Diceros bicornis minor: one gene and its partners. The protein of the gene in region 2 binds, or shares a complex with, the protein of the main gene of each other region. Links are inferred from orthologs where the notes say so. Each region holds a gene or a part of one and is shown on either strand. Other genes may lie near its edges.

What was found. Proteins that work in one complex are often made in the same cells at the same time.
Region 1: the proteins of CACNA1S (region 2) and STAC2 are in contact, whole or in part, in a crystal structure (PDB 6B27), measured with the Homo sapiens proteins. The link is inferred for Diceros bicornis minor from reciprocal best matches to the Homo sapiens genes CACNA1S and STAC2. Residues at the interface, in NP_000060.2 of Homo sapiens: Glu749, Pro750, Glu751, Ile752, Pro753, Ser755, Pro756, Arg757, Pro758; in NP_945344.1 of Homo sapiens: Tyr301, Lys302, Phe303, Gln306, Glu307, Asp310, Asn326, Asp328, Trp329, Phe340, Pro342, Asn344, Phe345.
Region 3: CACNA1S (region 2) and STAC3 share a complex: the UniProt entries of both Homo sapiens proteins name them as parts of the calcium channel complex. The link is inferred for Diceros bicornis minor from reciprocal best matches to the Homo sapiens genes CACNA1S and STAC3.

Annotation. Positions count from the first base shown.
Region 1 is NC_080757.1:39,006,176-39,013,263, forward strand, and holds the start of STAC2 (SH3 and cysteine-rich domain-containing protein 2), read right to left. Parts: upstream 3,016-7,088; 5' UTR 2,842-3,015; intron 2,653-2,841; 5' UTR 2,625-2,652; coding exon 2,535-2,624; intron 1-2,534. UniProt on the Homo sapiens protein: Plays a redundant role in promoting the expression of calcium channel CACNA1S at the cell membrane, and thereby contributes to increased channel activity. Slows down the inactivation rate of the calcium channel CACNA1C.
Region 2 is NC_080777.1:29,420,831-29,428,028, forward strand, and holds the start of CACNA1S (voltage-dependent L-type calcium channel subunit alpha-1S), read right to left. Parts: upstream 3,004-7,198; coding exon 2,852-3,003; intron 994-2,851; coding exon 888-993; intron 1-887. Other genes in the region: ASCL5 (achaete-scute homolog 5), read right to left, coding at 4,633-5,193. UniProt on the Homo sapiens protein: Pore-forming, alpha-1S subunit of the voltage-gated calcium channel that gives rise to L-type calcium currents in skeletal muscle.
Region 3 is NC_080756.1:11,652,998-11,660,128, forward strand, and holds the start of STAC3 (SH3 and cysteine-rich domain-containing protein 3), read left to right. Parts: upstream 1-4,116; 5' UTR 4,117-4,212; coding exon 4,213-4,639; intron 4,640-4,880; coding exon 4,881-4,978; exon of another isoform or gene 4,979-5,123; coding exon of another isoform or gene 5,124-5,189; coding exon 5,190-5,262; intron 5,263-6,157; coding exon 6,158-6,255; intron 6,256-7,131. Other genes in the region: R3HDM2 (R3H domain-containing protein 2), read left to right, coding at 161-501. UniProt on the Homo sapiens protein: Required for normal excitation-contraction coupling in skeletal muscle and for normal muscle contraction in response to membrane depolarization. Required for normal Ca(2+) release from the sarcplasmic reticulum, which ultimately leads to muscle contraction.

The DNA of each region.
Region 1 (7,088 bases), on a different chromosome or scaffold from region 2:
CCTGGCACAAGCTCAGATGGCAGAGCTGGCAGGGCAGGGTCTTCCCAAGGATGGCACCAAAGCAGGTGGTGGCAGGCCCTATGTGGTAGGATGGGATGGGGACGCAGAGAAGGCGATGTCGACACTAGCAGGGTCGCTGAGTAGCTTGGTTATAGGCGTGAGCCCTAACCTTAAGGTGGGCAGGAGGCTGGACATGGGCAGGCAAGAAATGCGCACGGGGCCCCAAACGCTGATGAATAAGCCTAGAATATTGGCTTCATTGCCTGATGGGCACCAGCCCCCTCTGTTGTACCTGCCTCAAACTGAGCTGGGTGGGCAGCAACCAACCCACTTCCTTCCCTCTCCCTCACCCCTACAGTCTGGAGACAGAGACTTCTTTGGGAACAGGTTGAGGTGGGGGCATGAAAGGAGGCTGGCAAGGGCCCTGAATTCTCTCTCTCCCCTCCTCTGCCATCCCGAGTACCACCCTCCCAGACCCCAGGTCGGCCTGTATTGTTATTACTGAGTCCTTCACAAGGCTGGGGGGAGGGCGGCAAAGGGGCAGGGCTCCAACTGGCCTGGCACAGAGGGGCCAGGTCAGGTGTGCATCCCCCTCCTCCCCTGCTCCTTGGATCTCCAGGGCTCAGACCCAGAGGTAATGGCACTGCAGGGCCCTTGGGCTGGGGGGAGAGAGGTACAGAACTGCCAGGCTCTGACCGCGCCCTCCCCACGCAGCTGAGCTTGCAGCCTGCTGATTGCTAAGGCAGCACTGCCCAGCTCCTGCCTGCTTTCAGAGAGCTCTTAAGGAGGGGGCAGAGAGGTCAGGCCTTGGCGTGGGAAGCAGAGCAGGGCCTGGGATGCCCCCAAGCCTCTGGGAAGCAAGCAGGGGGATTGTGTATGTCTGTCTAGGGCAACTAGAGAGCAACTGAGAAGGTTAGGGGCATTGGAAATTAGGATGGGGCTCAGCTCTTGGGACCCTCTGCTTGAAAGAAGCTGTCACGACTGCCAAGCAATAACCTCCCATCCCAACAACTCTTTCCCAGTAGAGACTTGGCTCTCTGAGGGGGAGTTGACTCTGTTGTCTGAGACCCCAGGGGCTCGTTCTCTGAAGGGGCCAGGAGAAGGTCAAGTGCGGATCTGGAGACCTGTACATGGAGACCCGCTGGGTCCCTCTGGTTTAGGGATGGGGAGGTAGCTGGAGTGTCTCAGCCAGACCCCACCCTGGTCCTACTTATCTCCCCATTGATGACCTTGACCTTGAATTAACCTCATATCTTGGGGGATGGTCAAGACAGAATGAGGAGGAAGATGGACATGGAAAGAGCTGTAGATGAGCAAGTGATACCAGGGGGAGCCAAAGACCCCACCCATTTCTGGTTTTCCCTGTCCCCCTCCTCATCTGGAGGACAGGAGCAGAGTGAGAACAAAACTCCTGGTGGAAGGGACAGGGAATGAGGTCTCAGCCTGAAGTCTGGGGAGGGGACAGGGAGCACCCTTGACACAGCCGCTTCTCTCCTCATCCCCAGCCCGCTCAGGTTGCTCCCGCAGAACTTCTTGCGGGTCAGTAGCGAAAACCTGGAACTTGGGGAGGGAGCGGACAGATTAGAGATGGGGGGAGGCGTTGAATGTGAGCGGCGTTCTCCCCCCACCCCCTTCAGCGCCAGGAGTCTGGGCTCTGCCTGACTTCACTGGGGAATAATTTATTCATTGTGACTCCCGCAGGAGTAACAATCATACATAATTAGGGTTAATTATGACATTCGTTAATTATGATGACTTCTCTTTTTGCTTCAACCCCCCCCCCCGTCCCGCTCCCGGGGTGGGGGGTGGGGCTGCCTATCTCTGCTCTAGAGCCGCAACAGTCCCCCGGTCCCCGCCCGCGATGGGCCGCGCTGCCGCAGCCCCCAGCGCGGACTCGGAGCTGCGTACCCCTGGGCCGCGGCCTCACGTCCCCGAGCATAGCCCGGTTGGGAGCGGGGAAACGCAGGACTGCGGCGGGTCAGAGAGAGACGTCCAGAGAGACTCCGATAAACACATAGAGACGCCGAGAGAACCCGGGAGAGACGCACAGAGAGAGACACCAAGACAGAGACAAACAGGTTGTAGAGACATTTTCAGAGAGACACAGGCAAAGGGAGAGGGACAGACTGAGCTACAGACAGAGACCTGGCGGACACGGGAGGGGTGCGCCTCGCACGCACACACAGCGCGTACACCGTCCCAAACCCGCTACACACCGCTACACACTCCCTCCGCCTTCGCTGCGCCGATTCCCTCCAACAAAGACCAGTTCCCACCTCCCTGGAGGGTCACGGTAGCGCGTCCGCTCATCACGCGCGCAAGGGCGTGTCGTGCTTGTGTGATGGGGGCTCCTTGTGGCCCCTCGTCGCGAACCCACTCCCCCCAAGTGGCCACGCGGAGCCTTAGGGATCACAGGGGCCCCGCTACCGTGACCCAGGGCACCTGAGCCCACAGTGGCGACCGCGTCTGGAAGAGGGCGCGGGGGCCAGGGGCGCACCGGGCAAGGGGCCCAGGCCTTGTGACTCCCGAGTTACCTTGGTTTCCTGGAGGGCAGAGCCGGTCCCCGGGGGTGTGTGGGTGGCCGCGTCATCCGGTTCGTTCTCCTTCTCGCTCATTTCGGTCATGGTTGGGGTAGAAGGGGCGAGAGGGTGCCTAGGCCCGACGGCAGGCCCGATGGGGGCAGGTTGCGGGTGGTGGGCGTCTCTCTGGGACCTTGAAGCCCTTCTCCAGAGATTGCCCCCCAATGAACCCTAGTTGAAACCCGCCCTGGCGAAGCCACCCCCGACTCCTGGGCCCGGGTGGAGAAAGTTCCGGGGTTGGCCGGTGAGAGGAGGCAATTACACGGAGCCGCGGGAGCCGGACGAACGCGGGAGTGAGGACCGAGGGTGTGCAGAGGATGCTGCTCAGAGCGAGGGGAGGAGGGAAGTGGGGACGCAGGGATGAGCCGAGGGAGGGAGCGACGGAGCTGTCCGTGTCCGGCCGGCTCCGCGGTCCTCTGCGCCCGCCCCCCATCCCCCTGCCCCTCCCCCCGCCGGGCCCAACCCGGCACCCGCGGGCCCTCCGCCCAGTTCTCGCCTCCCAACTTTGATTTAGGAGGTCGCCTGGTCCCTCCCCCTTGCCTCCGCTGCTCCCCCACGGCGCCGCTATGCAAATCAGGTTCTCAGTTATTGGCTGCTGCCGTGGCCAGGAGGGCGAGCTGGGCGGAGCCTGTGGGGGCTCGACAAGATGGGGAGGGGCTTGGAGGGTAAAGAAGTGGAGGGGACAGTTTTACACGGAAAAACCTCGGAAGAGGGGGAGTGGGGGGCGTGACAAGGTTGAAGGAACGCTCCGGAGATCGTATTTGAGTGTGGATGGGGTCGGGGGAAATAGAAATAGGTTGGATCTGCAGAAGGATAGCTGAGAATGAAATCAAAGTTAGGACTTCCTGAAAGCGAAGTGGAGGAAGAATGGGGACACTTGTGCCCCGTTAACTGGATGTCTCTCTGCCCTGGAGAGGCTCTCTCCAGATATACACACCCCTGGACTATGAGGTAGGGGTTTCCTTAAGGAGAGAAAGGACAACTTATCATGTGTCAAAGACCAGGCCTGACAAACCCTACTTTGTGGACGGAAAGTGGGACAACTGTATTCCTTTCCAGTCTTGGTGTCTGGACTTCAGCAGAGAAAGAGCCTCAATCCCCACACCTGAAGTCCCCAAACCACCTCAAGACATGCCTCCCCCCTAAAGATCCTACCACAAATGGAGTTAGATCAGCAGGTAGGGAGAGGTGGGGAGAAGAGGGTTCTTACCCTCCAAGGTGTCCTCTGTCCACTTGGCCTGAAGGTACCTCTTCTAATGCATGTTGCTTACCTGCCATTTCCCCAAGTCCTCCTCCCTCACCTCCTGCCCCCTCTGGCCCTGACCAAAAGGTCTAGCTTCATCTCTTGGCTTGTCCACAGGGATATAGGTTGGGAGTTGAGAGAATCCTTCCCTGAGTGTGGGTGGAGAGACTTCTGGGTCTAAGTCTCCCTCCTCCTCAATCTGCTGTAGGTGATGAGATGGGGGGTGGGGGTGGCACTCCAGAGGGTCCTGCTTTTAGGCCAGCCCTGGAAGACAGATGTTGAACCCTGCGTTCCCCCACTCCCCACCCTGTGCACATAGCCATTCATGCCATCTCCGTCTTTCCAAGGATGAGCTCACCATTGGAGCACTGCTCAGGTTACTGTGTCTAGGAATATATATTTATTTGCCAGTGGCAGAAGTAGGACAAGGGAAGACACGAGGGTTTGTGGTTGTGGGCGCTTTGTTCCCTCCCTCTCCAGACCCATCCACTGCAGCTGCAGACTCTCTGGGTGCTAGCTTTCCTGAAAGGAGCTTCAATAGAACCTGGCCTCAGCCCTCGGACCAGTTTCTCCAAAGGCCCATTCGTTACCAGCCTTCTCCCAATCCCCTTTGAGGACTGCCCTCCTCCCTCTTGCCCAGCCCAGCTCAGCCCAATGTCCCCTCCCTGGGCAACTCAGTCTTAGGGATGCTCGGAGCAACCTGAGGTAGGGTCATCAGGCCCTCCATCTATCCTGGGCTGGAGTAAACAGGGACTTCTGTGTTTGGTGACCCCCCGGGAAGAGGTACTCCTGTTTCTCCCCAAAGAGCCGGGGCTCAAGTTTCCTTAAAGTCCAATAACTGTATAGTCACAAATTAACTGTGTGACCTTGGGTAGGTAATTAAACTTTTCAGACCCTTGATGTCTTCATAAGCAAAACGGAGATTGTGCCTCCCTCACCCTTAGGTGAATGAATGAGATAGTGCAGGATGCCACTTAGCCTGGGAAAGACAGGCAGGGAAAGTTATTTTCTTCTTTCCCTCCTTTCTTCTGGAAGCTTGTCGTTTCCCAGTGCTTTCTCTGAGGCAGAGAGAAGAAACAGCTTCCTTCCCTCACGTTCCTGGGCCATTTGGAGCCTGTTATTCCACGGGGAGTGGACACAGAAGGAGAGTCTCGACACGGGGAAGCATTCCCAGGGGAATCAGTGTCACCAGTGACCAAGGAAAGGCAGGAAAGTTGGTGGGCCCTGGGGCCCATCTGGTCTCACATCAGAAGCCTGAGGTGGGACAGATGTGGAGGAGGCAGTGGGCTGGATCCCATGACCTCTGGATGTCCTTTCTGGCTCACAGCCTTGATGTTTCAGAGCTGTCTTTCATGAACTAAGTCTGAGTCATTGTCTCAGTGCCGACAACTCCCACTGCAGTGGCTAGGGACAAGGCAGGAGCAGCCAGGCTAGCTCCTCCTGGGGAAGGAGGAACATTGTCCCATCTCAAGTTCAGAGGGCAGAAATGAGGGATGAGCCGAGCAAGGAGCAAGATCCTACAGAGGGAAAAGCGGCAGTCACACTCTCAGAAGGGCTCTGTAGACCAGAAGTCTAATGGGCTACTGGGGTGCCTCTTACTAGGAGAGCCGAGTGAACCAGAGGGGGCGCTGGGCTCTCTGGAGCCCGGGGACAGAAGGATGGACGAGATAACTTCGAATCTGTGTGCAGCACAATGTCCAGCATGTTAAGAGAGCCTGGTCCCCATTCTGATCTGATTTTTCTTCCTGTTCTGTGACCTTGGGCTGGAGGGACTATGGTTTTCTTTTTAGATTGGCAGAATTGGACTAGATCAGGTAGAAATGGGGAGTTGGATTGAAATGGGGACAATAATTGTACACCTCTTAGCGTTCTTTTGAGGATTAAATGAGTTAGTATATATAGAGATCTGGGCAGAGTAAGTGCACAATAAATAGTTATTATTATTATTATGCATCCTTAACCTTGAGCTTGCAGGTGAGCTTCAGGGAATTCATGAACTCCTTGAAGCTGTGTAAAAATTTGGAGGATAAGCATTTTCTGGGGGAGAGTCCAGAGATTCATCTGCTCCTTAGAGACTCTAAGAGCCCAAAAGGTTAAGTGCCACTGGTCTGAATGACCCCCAGGGTCCCCTCCACTCTGAGTGGTCGAGATTCTCTGATGTGGAGGATCACATCTCCTTCCCTGAGGACTGACCTATTTCCTCCCATAAGCACTTTCAGGTCAATCTCCTTCCTGCTGTGGCCTCTGCTCCCATGGGTTGCCAAGGGCAGCCCAAGCTGAAAACATGAGTGGCTGGCCTTTCTCTCCAGCTTTAGAATCAGGGCTCCTAGGGTGGGGGAGCCTGTCATGGTTGAGGCCAAGTCTGAATTCTCATCTCCCAGCTGGGGAGAGGAAGAAGGCCCAGGCTCAGTGGGGCTGCAGTGGGGATGCAGAGAATGCAGTGAGAGGCCTGGCCTTGCCCAGTCTCCCCTATGTCCCCCTGCCAGCCCACCCCAGAGCCGCAGAGGCAGATACCTCTCTAATGAGCTAAGGCCCATGGCTGGTATCGGTAATTACGATTTTATGAAAATATAGAAGCCTCTTACGCAAGTGCCTGACACACTTCCCGACTGTGGCATCTGGGACAGCCAGGTCCCCAGGGGCTGGAGGAGGGCCCCTCCACCCCCTGCCGCCACCAACCCCTGGAGCTCGGGACACTGGCATAGTGCCGCCCCCCACTGCCGGTGGCACTGTCCCTATCATGCTGTGGGTGAGCTGTTCCCTCTCTCGGTGCCCCAGGCTCCCTGGAGGGGAACAACCTGGGCTCCGGTGCATGCAGTCCCTCACCCATCCCCCACCAAGCCGGGCTCTCCAGGAGACCTGTTCTCCTGTCGGAGGGTAATGAGGTTGGGATGCTTCGGTCTCCTCCACGAGGAAAACCTCTCCTCCCAGGAAGACATTCCCTTCTAGCCTGTTCCTTTTCTCCTTGAGGCTGGGGAAATAGGGCTGACAGCAGCCATGGTGTGGGGTGGGTCACAGCCCCTGGTGCCCTTCCCCAGGCCCTGTGCCATTTTGCCCACCCCCCACCTCCTATGCCTCTGCGAGTGTCCTGAAGCCACTACTTTCTTTCTCTAGTCCATTCCCCCTACCCTCCCACAAAGCATTTGTTACCACGGTAACAGCAATGTCTTCTCTTTGGAGTAAACAAGGAGGTGGAGGGCTGTTAAGGGTTAGAACTTTAGAGGGATGAGCATCGGGGGTCCCAAATTGTTAAAGGAGGATCTTTT
Region 2 (7,198 bases):
AGCGAGGACACGGCAGGTCTGACAGTCAGGGAGGCCAAGTGTGAGACCAAGAGAAGACCTGTGTGGGTGACCCCGGGCAAGGTCCCCACCTCTCTGACCCTGTGTCCTTGTCTCATGATGGGTCTAACACTGTCACTGACTCCGCAGGGGTAATTCCGGGGATTAGAAAAGGCAGCTCGGTAAAACACTTATCACAGAGCCCCGCACCTAACGCCTCTTCCTAAGTGTGAAGCATTTCTGTTATTATCCAGCTCTTGGGTAAGGAAGCCCTTCAACCACCAAGTCACCGGTTTCTCACCCATAAAAGAGAGAGGTGGGGAGGAGGCAGGACGGCCTGACTCTGGGAAAGCCCTCCTAGCTCTGGCGGTTGTGGTTCTGCGCTGTGTTATGGTGACGGAGCCTAGGAGGAGGTATAGGACTCTAAACACGTCCTCCCGGGATTTGGAGACCAGACCCTCCCAGGAAGGAAGCTTAGTGGAAGCACCGCTCCTCTGGATTATATCCAGGGAAGGGAGTCAGCCCTCAGCTGCCACCGCTTGCTAGCCGGCCTTGCTAAGCCTCAGCCTCCGCATCTGTCAAATGGGCCTACTCCAAGGGGCTGTTTCGAGGAGTACGTGAGCTGGCTCTTGTAAGGTGCTCAGCGCGGTGCCCAGGCACAGCGAGGGCTCGTCCAGTGCCGGCTGGTAATACCATGGGATCCAGAAGAAGTGAGTTCACTCTGCAAAGCTGTCGAGCCGCTTGGCCAGCCCTGCAGGTGGGCGGGAGGGCGGGGCCTGTATCCTGGGGGTGGGAGCTCCAGCATCACCCACCAGCACACGGTCCCCCAAGGGGGTCTCCCCGCGCCTGGGCTGCAGGCCTGCAGGGGGGGCCGGGGGGCCCCATCTTACCAGGCCGAGGTTCAGAGCGTTGTTGTCATCCTCCGGCATGGGCAGGTACACGGCCAGGGCCACGCAGTTGGCAAAGATGGTGAGTAAGATGATTGTCTCGAAGGGCCTGGTTCTAGGGTTAAGGAGAGTGTGGGGTTTGCAGGGTTAAGAGGAAGAGAGTGCTGGGGGTCAGTCTGGACTGTGACTGTGATGCCGGGCTGACGGGCTCTGTCCCTACAGTCTTGCAGGGTATAGAAAGTGCCAGGCTCCCACCGGGGGGATCTTGTCTCCCTCTCCTCAGAAACAGCTAACTTCCACTTAGATGCTTTGGGACCAGGAAGCTCTGGTCCCCGGCTGGGGGCTACTCAGCTTTAAGGTCCAGGGAAGTCTTAACCCTCTGTTCTAAGGCCTGCCCCTAACCCTGCTCCCACCTGCGTCCTCCAGAGGAGCCAGGACTTTCTGAGGCTCCGGCCAGACAACCTGCGGGCTCACTCAGAGAAATGGCAGGAGAGGCTGTGGGCTGGTGCAGGTTTGGGCTAGGTACCCACAGAGCAGGCCTGGGAAAGGGAAGAGAGAGAGATGGAGCCTGCATCTCAGAGCCCGAGGAGGGACTGGATGACCCACCCGATCAGTGCCGCACGCTGGTGTGCACACCTCGAACCCACTCACGCAGCCCCTCCCAGACGCTCCCACCCCACACAGCGATGTCCAGAGGGTGCCCCGGCCCAGTCCTTTCTTGATCTGCTGGTGAGCAGCAGGGGCCAATCAGAGAGGCTGACCACTGGGAAGCTGGTGTGGAAGGAGGGGAGGGAAGGAACGGAGGAGAGTGTGCGGGTGTGTGTGTGTATGTGTGTGTGTGGATGGGTGGGGAGAAGCACACTGTGTCGATGGGCTTGATTGGAAACCCCATTCCCTTCCCAGCAACCTCCAGTGTTTGAGAAGAGAGGTGGCCACTGGACAGAGGCCTGCGAGAGGAGAAGGCACAGAGGAGCAGAGATGGAGGAGAGAGAGAGCCCGCTGGGTGAACGGAGCCCCAGAAGACAGGCAGGAGGGGAGGCAGCGGGAGGTCCAACGGGCTGAGCGCAGCTTGGGGAGCAGGGCGGACTCTGACCCAAACTATTCCAATCTGGTCCTATGTGCTTCTTTCCCTTCCTATACTCTTCCCTTGCTTATCTCATGCTCTGCTTTCTTCCAGGGAACAGCTGCCGGGAGCCTGTTCTTCCAGAACGCTTCCCACATATTTCAAATGTTTCTGAGCCTCTCTCTTAGGACCCACTGGACATGGGCCTCCCCACCTCTCTCTAGCTCCTTCCTCCCTTCCCCAAATAGCCCAGATATTTTCATCATTCTTCCTCCCATAGCTAACGCAAACAGAGTGATTTCAAACCCCCAACCCCAGGCTGGTGCGTCTGAGCTAAAATAGCCAGGCCTGCTCCTGGGCGCCCTCCACAGCCGGCCTCGTTCCAGCCCATTTCTCCTCCATCCTGGCTGGGATTTTCCCTGGGGGAAGAGTGGAAGCCTTCCTCGGCCCTCACCTCCCTCTTCACTTTTATCCCCTCCCATCGAGATGGGGGATTTTTTTGCAGAGGCCACTGCTTTCTTCTTCCGCATCCTATATCAAAAGGGCGCTGCTGCTTCAAAAACCAGAGAAGTGCCCCACAATAACGTGGATTTGGGATCAGCTGGGAACAGCCCTGAGGAACATCCCAGCCCCTTTCGTAGCGGTCAGTGGGCATCTCAGGCTGCCCCCAGGACTTGGGCTGCACACGCAGGCCCCAGAAGCCCATCAGTTCCTCCTCCTCCTCCTCTGGTCCCCCTCGGTTAGGGCTTCCTTCCCAAAGGCTCCTCACACCGTCTGGGGCAGTCCACCCCGTCTCTAAGTCCCCAGTCCCCCTGGCTCCCAAAGTTTGCAGTCTGTGACCACCCCCTGCCTCCCTCTCCCACGCGACCCATGTCCTCCCTGCTGCCCTGGCCCTAAAGGATACTTCCATTCCACAATGCTGATGCAGGCCTTCCTCAAGGGGTTCTGGAGTGTCAAGCAGAACAAGGCCCGGGGCGGCCTGGGCAGAATCTCAGGAACAGGCTTCTTGGGCTGCTTCTTCCTCAGGCCCTCATCCTGGGGCGAGGACGGCTCCATGGCTCTCCTGGCAGCCTTGCTCTCCTGGCTCCCCCACCCCACTGCCCTCTCCTCCCTGTGTCCCCAGCGCCCCCGCCTTGGGGACTGGCGGGCTAAGCCTGCCAGCCAAGCCTGCCCTGCTGAGCCAGCGGGGCGGGGGCTGGAGGATTACTTTCCCTGCTCCCAGCGAGTAAAATTACCCTCCGCTCGGCTCTCTCTGGCCAGCCCAAACACCCGAGGCCAGGCAGCTGTCATTCCTGCCCAGCCCAGCCAGTGACATCCCAATATGTCCCCGAGGGGGAGGGAACTTCCACACGGGCCTGGGATGGGGCACTGATGGGGCAGCTAGAGACAGGATGGAGGGGTTCAAGGCAGGGGAGATAGAGAGTTTGGGAAGGGGGAGCTTAGGATATGGAGCCTCAAACTTCAGGCTGGCTCCCTCGGGCCCAGCTGAGCTTTCTGCCCCCTGCCCCGTGGCACCAGCCAGGCGAGGTGCTGGTGGCCCAGCTCAGCACAGCTCCACGGCCCCGCATCTCAGGACCTGCAGCTCCCAGGCCAAGCCTCCTGCCCACCGCCACCCCCATGCACACGCATGGCAGGGGAAGCTCACCTCTCCCCACTGGGGTGGAGGCTCCGGAAGACCCTGGAACCTGCACACCTCCAGCAGCACCGGCCACACTGGGTAGTGACTGTACTTTGTGCCTAACTGTGCAGGGTGGTGTGTGTCTCGGGGACGCTGGCCCTCCAGGCACTGTCCCTGGCACACACGTGTGAGCTAAGGGAACACCCCCCACACGCACAGCAAGTGCTCTGAGATGGGAGCAGGAAGGAGTAGGGGTGCGGGGTAGACGAGGGTCCACAACCACCTAGGAATCACAAAAGTCAGCAATCTTTTATTCAGCCCCTTGGAGCAAACACAGCGCCAATGTATCCATATGCCTCCCCAGCCCACAGAGACTACAGGCCCAAGGGAAAAAGGAGGAAACGGGCACCCTGGGGGTGGTGGTGGTGGTGATCGCCCTCCATCGAGGCAGCCAGAGAGCGCCACCCGTGTACACGGATGTCCTCTTCCTCCCTCAGTCGGTTCCACCTGGGCGGAGCGCAAGCAGCAGTCCCGCCTCCCACCTCCAGCTCTGGGCTCCTCTCCGGGGGTGGGGCACGCAAGCTCCCGAGAGGACACTAGCCTTGGAGGCCATCTGGTGGAGAGCGGGGCATAGCACATCCGAACCAAAGCGCGGCTCGCCTCCCGGCGATGGCAGACACCGGGCCTGGGGCCACGGAGGACGGAGCAGGGCCACCATGGTTGGGTGTGCACAACCAGGAGCTGGGTTCCCACTTTCCCAGCGCGGGGCTGAAGCAGAGCCGGAGCCAGACCCAGGGACAACCGTCCCGGGTTGTCCTCCTGCGGCCTGGGGGGGGGGGGGCGCGGCGCCCATCCGGAGCTTCCCCGGTCTTGCGCGCTCACCGCAGCCCCGGGCTCCCGGGTCTCTATAGCGCCCCTCGTACTCCTGCCCTGCACCCCTGCCCCAAGCGGGAAGGGAGGAGGCCGGTGGTGGCGGTGGGGGAGGGAGGGTGTCGCCGCGGATCTCCAAATGTCAGGGTCCCGCCGCACTGCGGGGGACCCCCGAGCCCCGGGCGGCCACGGCGCGGTCAGTGGCCCGATTCCTCCGACTCAAAGAGCGGCGCGGAGGCGAAGCGGGAGGCGTCGGGAGTCTCAGGCGCCAGGGCGGGGGGCGCGCCGTCGGGGCCGTGGGGCCGGGCGCCGGCGGGGGGCGCGCCGTCGGGGGCCGCGCTCAGCAGCTCCTGCAGGTGCTTGATGTAGCGGATGGCGGCGCGCAGCGTCTCCACCTTGCTGAGCCGCTTCTCAGCCAGCGCGCCCGGCAGGTGGCCGCGGAGGCGCGCGTAGCCCTCGTTCACACACTTGACCCGCTGCCGCTCGCGCTCGTTGCGCTTCTGGATGAAGGCGGGCTCGAAGGGGCAGTCGTAGACCCCGAAGGCGCCGGGGAACGGCGCGTAGGGGAACACGCCCGCGTAGGCCTCGTAGAAGGGCGGCTCGGCCGCCCCCGGGTACAGCAGGAGGGGCACGCCGCCCAGGGGATCGGCGGGTGGCAGGGGCGCCTGCCGCCGAGGGGGCGCGACGCCCAGCTGCATGCAGCCGGGGGGCGCCATGGGCCGCCGGTCCACCAGGGCCCGGCAGAAGTTATTGCTCATGGTGCCGCGTGCCCTCCCCGATCGCCGCTGCTTGGGGTCTGCGCGGTCCTGCCCGCGGGCACGAGTCACATGGCCAGCAGCAGCTCTGGGGGACCGGACTTGCTAGGGCTCCTTTTCGCCCTTTGGGGTGGCTTCCGCGGTCTCCCTAACGCGAGCCATCGCTCCCATCTCGTGAGGCTCAGCGGGGACCCTCCAAACCAGCCCGTGGCGCCCAGAACTCCGGGGCCCTCGCGCTCCTCCGCACCTGCCTCCTCCGGCGGCCCAGCGCGGGCGCCTCCCACGGGCGCTAACCCTGGGGCTCCATGCCCGGCCCCCCGCCCGGTTCTCGTTCCTCGCGGCCTTGGGGATCCCCAGGCGGCCGGGGGGCCGGGAACTGACGGCCGCTGTTAGGAGTGTGCCAGCTCCGCAGAGGGGTCTCGGGAAACGTTTCTGAAGAAGAGGAGAGTGAATATATGATTAGGAAAGGCCTTGTGTTGCGGGCTCCTTTGTGCCCCCCCGTCCCCCCCCCCCCCCCCCCCCCCGCAAAGGGGATGTAAGCACCGTGAGGGGAGGTGGTGCGGCTGCTGAAGAGGATACTCAGAGTGGGGCTCAAATCCTGGGCTCACCCCTTAAAGCTTGGGTCATGGTTTTCATATATGGAGATAATTAAAACATCCCTCACAGGAGATTAATAATCTGTGAGAATCAAATGAGACAAAAATATACCATAAAACACCTCCGGGGCCTGGCTTATAAAAAGTGCCGCGTGATACCATTTCCTCTGAGTGGGAATCAAGTCTCATGGCTGATACCTGCCAGGGCCTAGCATCTGGGGGGCTCAAAGACTGCGTGTTGAATGAGCCGTACAAATACCGGTGGCAACCATGAATCCACAGAGGCATCCAGCTTTTTGTTGAAGGAAGTGCATCTTTGACTCTGAGAAACTCAGGCTTTGGGGACTTTCAAAGCCCTCTGCTGGTGGAGAGGCAGTCACCAAGCCTGCCACGCTCTAGTCCACGAGGGTCCAGGATGCACCCTCTCACACCATCCTGGGTTTCTCCTTGGTGGCACTTAACAGAAGAGCCTATTCTTTGACCTCTGTGTGCCCAGAGCCCGGCCCGGCTTCCGGCGTGTCACAGATGCTGCACGAATACTTGCTGAGTAACCGAGAGGGAGGGTCAGGCAGGAAGCTGGGCTGTCAGGGCAGGACTGAATTACACACAGCCTTTCCCAGACTCTAGGAAGCTGTTGTTGTAGAAACAATTGGCCTGTGAATTTAAGTGCCACCAACCCTCATCACATGCGGTTATCGGAATCAACTCAGGTGTCATTTTCTCCAGGAATTCTCCCAGAGCCCACTCCCCTCTCTCGTGTGTGTCCACCGTGTCCTGTAAGTGCCGTCTGTCTACTAGTGTCCTCCTCGTCATGGCAGATCTCAGGGTGCCCTGAATGAGTGAGCTTGTGGTGCGTCCACGGGGAGACTGAGGGGCAGCCTGAGGCCTTGAACACTGGGCAGGGCCTTCCTATGGGACAGAAGGGGACTAGGTCTCTTCCGATGGGGGGACGTCGGTCACAAACTCAGATTCCCCAGAGTCTCTTCTGCGCCTTCTCGTCTTTGTCCTCTTTTCAGGTCCCTAGTCCATTCCCAGTGAGCTCTGCCCTCCATGCTGAAGGAAACTAGGACAACTCAACAGTGATTGTAAGCATCACGGAGACCTGCATCAGGACAAATTCACCAGTCCCTCCCCTGCTCAACAGCCTTGGGGGCTCCCTGCTGCTTTCCAGGGAAGGTTCTAGAAAACCTCTTCCAAATAGACTGTCAGCTCTGTGGGGACCAGTCTCCTCCTGCACCTTGGCTGACACTCACTGGTTGGGGGCCCTCTCTGCCCCTCCCTGCTCTCCCCAGCCCTGCCGTCCCCAGAGGCAGCTAGCCCTGCAGCTCCCACATGGGCTCTCCAGGCTGCACATTCAGCCGGACTGCGCGACGGCAGAGGGCAGAGCCGGCCTTTCACGCCTGGGTGACGGC
Region 3 (7,131 bases), on a different chromosome or scaffold from region 2:
GGATGGTGGGGGGTTGGGCTGATTTGGGGAGGGAGGAAAGGGCTGAGTGGGAAAAGCCAGGCTTTTGAGGACACTGTATACAGCCTTGGTCAGCCAGCCGCTGTCCAGTCCTCCCTGCTTTGCACCTCTCACAACCATGTCCTCTCTCCTCCCCTTCCAGTCCTGGGGCGGGTGCTGGAGGTGACAGATCTCCCTGAGGGCATCACCCGTACAGAGGCGGACAAACTCTTCACTCAGCTTGCCATGTCCGGCGCCAAGATCCAGTGGCTCAAGGATGCTCAGGGGCTGCCTGGCGGGGGTGGGGGGGACAACAGTGGGACTGCCGAGAACGGCCGCCACGCGGACCTCGCTGCCTTGTACACCATCGTGGCTGTGTTCCCCAGCCCCCTGGCTGCTCAAAATGCCTCCCTTCGCCTCAACAACTCTGTGAGTCGCTTCAAACTTCGAGTGGCCAAAAAGAACTATGACCTGAGGATCCTGGAGCGAGCCAGCTCCCAATAAACGGAGGAGGGGAAGGGACTGGCCTGGTGGGGGTGGAGGCAGGTTGGAGAGTTGAGGCATCCTGACAGACCACAGACAGAGGCAGAAAGTAAGGTGACAGACACTAAACTGGAGCCTAAGGCAGGAGAGATGAAGATGGGATCAGAGACCCTCACAATGGCACTGGGCTCCTTGCTCCCCTGTCATGGGTCCCCTCTTTTTCTCTGGTTGGCCCCCCTCTGCTTCCCTCTCCTTCCCATCCTCTTCTGTCATTTTTTTATCTCTTTGCCCACCGTGAAATTAATTTATTTCATATTTTTGGTCAGGTAGAATTGGGAGGGTCCCACACTCCCCTCTTCTCCTATTTCTGTACCATCCCAAGCTCCCTTTTCTTTTTTGGTCTTTACGAATATATTTATATGGACAGAATTAAGAAAAATGAAATTGATTTCCCCTTTCTCTCACTTCCCCCATCTTGTCTCCCTAAACCCCACAGAGTTAAAAACTTGGGCCTCCCCCCCACAGAACACTTGTATATTGTTTGTTTGAGGTTCGTGCCGCAGTAACAGACACAGTATTTAATTGCACATACAGATGTTTGCTGGGTATATTCACTGTAAATTTATTTAATCTGATTTTTTGTTTGGGGGGGTTATCTGGGGAGAGGTTGATTTTGTTTTTAAATATAAAAAAAAAAAAAAAATCTGTCACTTGACGTCAGTCCCTGTTTCTCTCTTGCCGCCCTGGTGTGGGTGGGGGTTGGAGGTCCTGGGTAGGTACAGCCCCACAGCTGTTGGAGGGATTTGATGTGGGTTGGGATGGCTTTCCCTAGCATATGCACACATATCTTCCTAACACTGTTCCCTGTGTCCCTTCCTCCTCCTTGCACATAATATTCTGATAGATGGCTGGGTCTCTAATGGGACCTTGGGTTCTGGGCTCTCCCAACTCAGCCACTAACTGTGGTTCATCAGGCACGTCACTTTTCCTTTCTGGACCTCTGACTCCTTTATCAGTACAATAAAAGACTTGGACTGACTGGGTGACCTCTAAGATTCCTTCCACTCTGTTAAGTCTGTGATACTCATTTAGGGCCCTCATGGCTGAGCTGGGGAGGGGTGAGTGAGGTCCAGAAATGAGTTGAGATGCTGCCTCATACCTGTCCCTCTAATCTTCTGAAAACTCTTCAGGGATGGAGGACTTGGGCCTTTCTTTAATCCTAAAGCCAGAGGATTGAGTTTTACCTGGTAGGAACAGAGGTAGATGTTTCTTACAATAAAAGCTACATCAATTGAACTTGCAGTGCCAAGATGCCATGTTATCCAGGCGTGCTCAGCGGTCCGTGGCCTATGCAGCTGAAGAATGGTGAAGAGCAGAAGTCACTTGCTTGCAAGATGGAGCTTTTCCTCACTCTGAGGCTTCTTAAAGCTAGCCCTGTTGTGCAGAGGGTCAGACCAGGGCCGTTAAAGAACCTGTAGACCCAGAACCTCCAAGCAGCCCCTTTTCAATCTCACCCACTCCTTAAAGAGAAAAAAGAGCAGTGGTAGAAATGACCGAGCACCTTGCCCTGGAAATCTCTTGGGTCTGGGTAGCCGCATCTCTAGCCAGTCCCTTCTGAAGCTTGTCTGACCCAACCTGCAATGTAATCCTTTACTTCTTACAGATACAAGGCATAAAGCAGCACTACAGTACCAGCTCCAAATCGCTCTCCTCTGAGATGGAGTACCTCCTCTTTCAGCCATGTCGCAGCCCAGGGTAGGGGAAGGCTGCATCCCTGTGAGATAAGAATGCCAGATATCTCACTGACCCAGCAGTTCGTATACCTGGGGCATCAGAGGAGGGCGATGGAATCAGAACCAAAGTGATTTAGGAAGTGTGAGGCTTGGCCCTCCTACCTCCAAGAGTCGAGTCTGCAGTTCTCATGGGGAAGGAGACATTACTTACAGATGATAACTCCCCATGTGGCAGCTCTTGCCTTCTGTCCAATGTTAAGAGGACCATCTCTACGTGATTGTTAGACCCTCACCCCCCCAGAACCCCTCAGATGGAAGTCCCAGCCTGGCTTTTTTTAGTAACTCTTAGAATTCCCTTCACCCTGAGGACAAGATTTTAGAGGAATCCGGGGAAAGATGTCTCTGGGGGCAGCTGGAGGGAACAAAGCGGTACTACATGTTCCTCACTCCCTTACAGGATGGCAGCAAGTTGCCCCTCCAGCCACCACGGATAGGAGAGCAGTCTCCTCTGGCTGATAGGAGAGCTCTGAGAATGCAAATTTCCCTGTCTTCACCCGTCCCCAGCCCTTCCCTTCCTAAAAGTTTGAGGCTAGATTGATGCTTGAGAGTATAAAAATACATGGCCACATGAAGACAATGGCTGAGAGGTTCCTAAAGTAGGTCCAGAGAGGGTAGAATTTTAGATGACTACCTTCCTTCATCTAAAATCACCCAAATGAGGATGCAGCATGAACACCGTCCCTTCCTGAATTTAGCCGTTACTGACCTACACACTGTGGATGAAAAACCAGGGAACAGCAGCTCTGGGGGATGGGAGGACTTAGGGTCCAGCCCTGCCCAGGCCACCCCGTGTCCAATTTCTCTGTGTCAGCTGTGTCACTCAGCTGTCCACTTTGCTCCAGCCCTGTCATTTCAGCTCTGACACCAAGGCGAGAGGCTAAGAGGTCTACAAATACCGTCTGGGTAGCTGGTGTGAGTACACAGGGTAGTGGGGGGGCTTAGCCCCCAAGGAAGAAGACCAGTCCTCCCCCAGCACCACCATCAAGACCCCAGGTGCTCCCTCCTCCCTCCACAGACTCTGGACTGACTAGGGAATCCCAAACGTAAGTTGCCTTGTCATCCTCTTCCCATTTCCAGGACTGCTTACCCCAGCTTCCCCAATCCGTAGTCTGTTCAGCTTATTTCTCTCCTCCTCTGTGAGTAGTTTGGGTTTTAGGAGTGAAATTTATTATTCTACTCCAGAACAAGAGTTAGGATTGGAAGGTGGGGTGGGGGTGGGGTCAAGGTAATGGAGTAGTAAGGGAAGGAAAGGCTCATATTACTCTGAAAACTTAAAATAGCTGAGGGCTGAGGCAGGCTGGGAACTAAGCACTGGGCCCCTGGGGCTCAAGAAAGAGGGGAGAACAAATGTCCCCAGCCCATCCCATCATGCATGCTATGGACACACACATTAAACTTGCTGAAGAAAGGGGATCTGGGAAGGTGTATGTCATGTCTCTACTGCACACAAAGTACCTGTAGGAAATGCCCTAAACCGTACAGACTTGAGCACTGTGTTGGGGCTGTAAACTCGGGTTGTCCCTCAGGGTGGAAGGATGGGTATCAGTTTGAGGAACTGGTTGGGAAGTTCTTGAGTCTGTTGGGCTTTTCTCTGGACTTCCGTGGAAACTTTCTGTTCATAAGCCTGTGAAAGGATCCCTGTTTAACCAAATTTCCCCTGAAGCCTCCTCTTCAAGGACCACCCTACTGTGAGGGACAGGAATAGGGAGGGAAGAATGGCAGGCAGAGGTGACATTTCATAGTGGGGTCTGACCTCTTGCAGGATGACAGAGAAGGAGGTGCTGGAGTCCCCTAAGCCCCCCTTCCCAGCAGAGACTCGGCAAAGTGGGGTGAGTCTGGGCCTCTGACCACCAGCTGTGGGGAGCTGGGAAGCCATGGCAACCCTTGATGAAAAGCGCTTGAGTTGATCTCACTAGTATGTGACTCATTTATTGTTAGAATGCTAGCCAGCACCTGCAGCCCCCAATACCCCCCAATGCTGGGCTGTGCCCCTTGCCCGAGGCTAGAAAAATGTCTAGTCAGCTTCCACCTTACCTCCTCTAGAAAGCATGACAGTTCTTTTAACATTGGGTTTCCTTCCCTCCTTCCCTGCCTCCCTCAGCTACAGCGGCTGAAGCAGTTATTCAGGAAGGAGTCCACAGTGACAAAGGAGATGGAGCTGCCCCCAGAGCCCCAGGCTAATGGGGAGGCAGTGGGAGCTGGGGCTGGGCCCATCTACTACATCTATGAGGAAGAGGAGGAGGAAGAGGAGGAGGAGGAGCCACCCCCAGAACCTCCTAAGCTTGTCAATGATAAGCCCCACAAATTCAAAGATCATTTCTTCAAGAAGCCCAAGTTCTGTGATGTCTGTGCCCGGATGATTGTGCGTGAGTCTTGAAGGGAAGTGGAGAGAGTGTGATGTCGAAGGCAGGGGGCGGGGACAGAGTTTAGGAGAGGGGTATTTGTATCACAGACAGGCTTTGGCATGATTTTGGCTTTAAGAAAATACTATTAGAGACTGAGAATGTTGGCTCCCAGACAGAAAAGGGACTAAGAGCTCGAGGAGCAGCTGTGGCATGAGGGAAGGGAGCTCAGGGACCTCACCCAAACATTCTCCCCTCTCCCAAGTCAACAACAAATTTGGGCTTCGCTGCAAGAACTGCAAAACTAACATCCACGAACACTGTCAGTCCTACGTGGAAATGCAGAGGTGCTTCGGGAAGATCGTGAGTAGACCTTGGGAGCAAGAAAGTAGAAGGGAGGGGCGTGTTGCCAGCTACCCTCTTGCCAGTCCCTCCTCAAGTCATCCCGTCCATTTCCCTGCTGCTTCTTTCTCAGCCCATCTCTTACTCTAAGAAGAGGTGAGCACTCATGGGAGAGATGGGTTCTGGGCCCTTCCTTGCTATCTCTAATGTTTTCTCCCATCCCCTCCTACAGCCCCCTGGTTTCCATCGGGCCTATAGCTCCCCACTCTACAGCAACCAGCAGTACGCTTGTGTCAAAGATCTCTGTAAGTGCCCCCTATGGGACCTGAGGGAACGGGCAAGCCTAGAGACCGTGTCAGCACCACCTTTAGATTTGGAAGCAAATTCTGAAACAGAAAGATCCTATTTCACAAGATTGTCTCTCAAGCTAAACTTTTAGCCATCTTGGATGCAGTCAATATTCCCATTTTATAGCTGAGGGAGATAAGATTTAGCTAGGGCTTCACACAGATAACAAGAGACAGAGCCAAGACTGAAACCTTCATCTGCCTAACTTCAAAATCTGTGCTCTTCATATATGAAACCATTTCTAAGCAAGAACAAGGATTTTAGACTCTCTACATCCTGGTTACAGAATAATGCCAAACTCAAAGCCAGACCAAGAGCTGTGAGCATCCTGGGCAGATTCATAATTTGGCAACCCTTCAAAAAGTATTCATTGACAATTTCTCAAGATTTATTTGGAGGAGAGGCTGAACTCTGTGAGGAGCATGGGTGGAAAAAGAAGAACCCACCGGTGTTAGCATCCCCGCTTACACATGCCACTCAGCAGAACAAAAGCCAGCAGTTAAAAGACCACTCTCCTTAGAAGGAGAATAGTGATTCTGAGGATTCCCCAACTCCCAAGCAGCATGTTAGCAAAGCTGTCTTTCCAACATCATATAATGCTCTGCCTAGAAGGAGTGCTGGTAAACATTTTTCTCTATCACATTACATTTCCAGGGATATTTTTAGAGCTCTTTATAGATTGATGACCTAGGTAGCCCAGCTGACCCTTCCCTAATCCTACACAAACATGCGCACATGCATGCATGTCTATCTGCTCAGTCCCACCTCTCCCTTACTTAGGAGGTCTCTCTTTCCTTCAAGCCTTTCTCTGCCTCCGCAGTAATGTCTTCTTTCTTTTCCCATTCCCGCTAGCTGCTGCCAATCGCAATGACCCTGTGTTTGAAACCCTGCGCACTGGGGTGATCATGGCAAACAAGGAACGGAAGAAGGGACAGGCAGATAAGAAGAATGTGAGCACCATACCTTCCTACTGAGGTCCCTTCCAGAGACCCTGTGGAGCAGGTCCTCCCTCCTCTCTGGAAAGCTGACAGAAGCTAGGGATCCTCTCCCTCTAAAATTGCACATAACCCAACAGATACATTTTTGTGTGCAATTTTAGAGGGCCTCAGGTTAACAACTCCTGCCATAGTGTGTTTTCTCCAGGAACTCCCTTCTGAAATTGTCAGATTAACCACCAACAAACTGAAGCCTAGGCCCCAGGCCCCTGGCATTGCTGGGCACCAGAGACAAGAGCAATGCTTTTGGATTTGGGAAAGAGAACTTGCCATGCCACGTAATCAGAGAATTTTAGAGCCATGCAAGGGTCCATGAAGATCATCTGGTCTGACCCATTTCCTATAGATAAGGAAACTGAGGCACAAAGCTAGTGGCCAAGAGCAACTTTACTTCCTTTTGTAATAGGGTTACTAGATCAGTAATGCCATAGACTTGCACTCAGTTCAGCAAGGAATTTGTTAGTGTATCCTTGTATTTTTCTGTACAACCAGATGGACCAATGTGGATAATGGTTACAGTTGGATGGATTCCTAAAATTGGTTGCATGACAGTAACCAAAGGATCCTGGTCCTTTAGGAAGTGTCCAGTGAGAGGGAGATTTCTGATGCCTTATAACATGATTCGGTCCTTGGTCCCACCTATGGAAATTTTTCTCACTGATGCAAATGAAGATATAAATGGTATATCCAGGGGCTGGCCCTGTGGCGTAGCAGTTAAGTGCATGAGCTCCGCCGCTGGTGATCCGGGTTCGGATCCCGGGCACACACTGATGCACCACTTGTCAGGCCATGCTGGCACAGATGTTAGCCCAGGGCCAGTCTTCCTCAGCA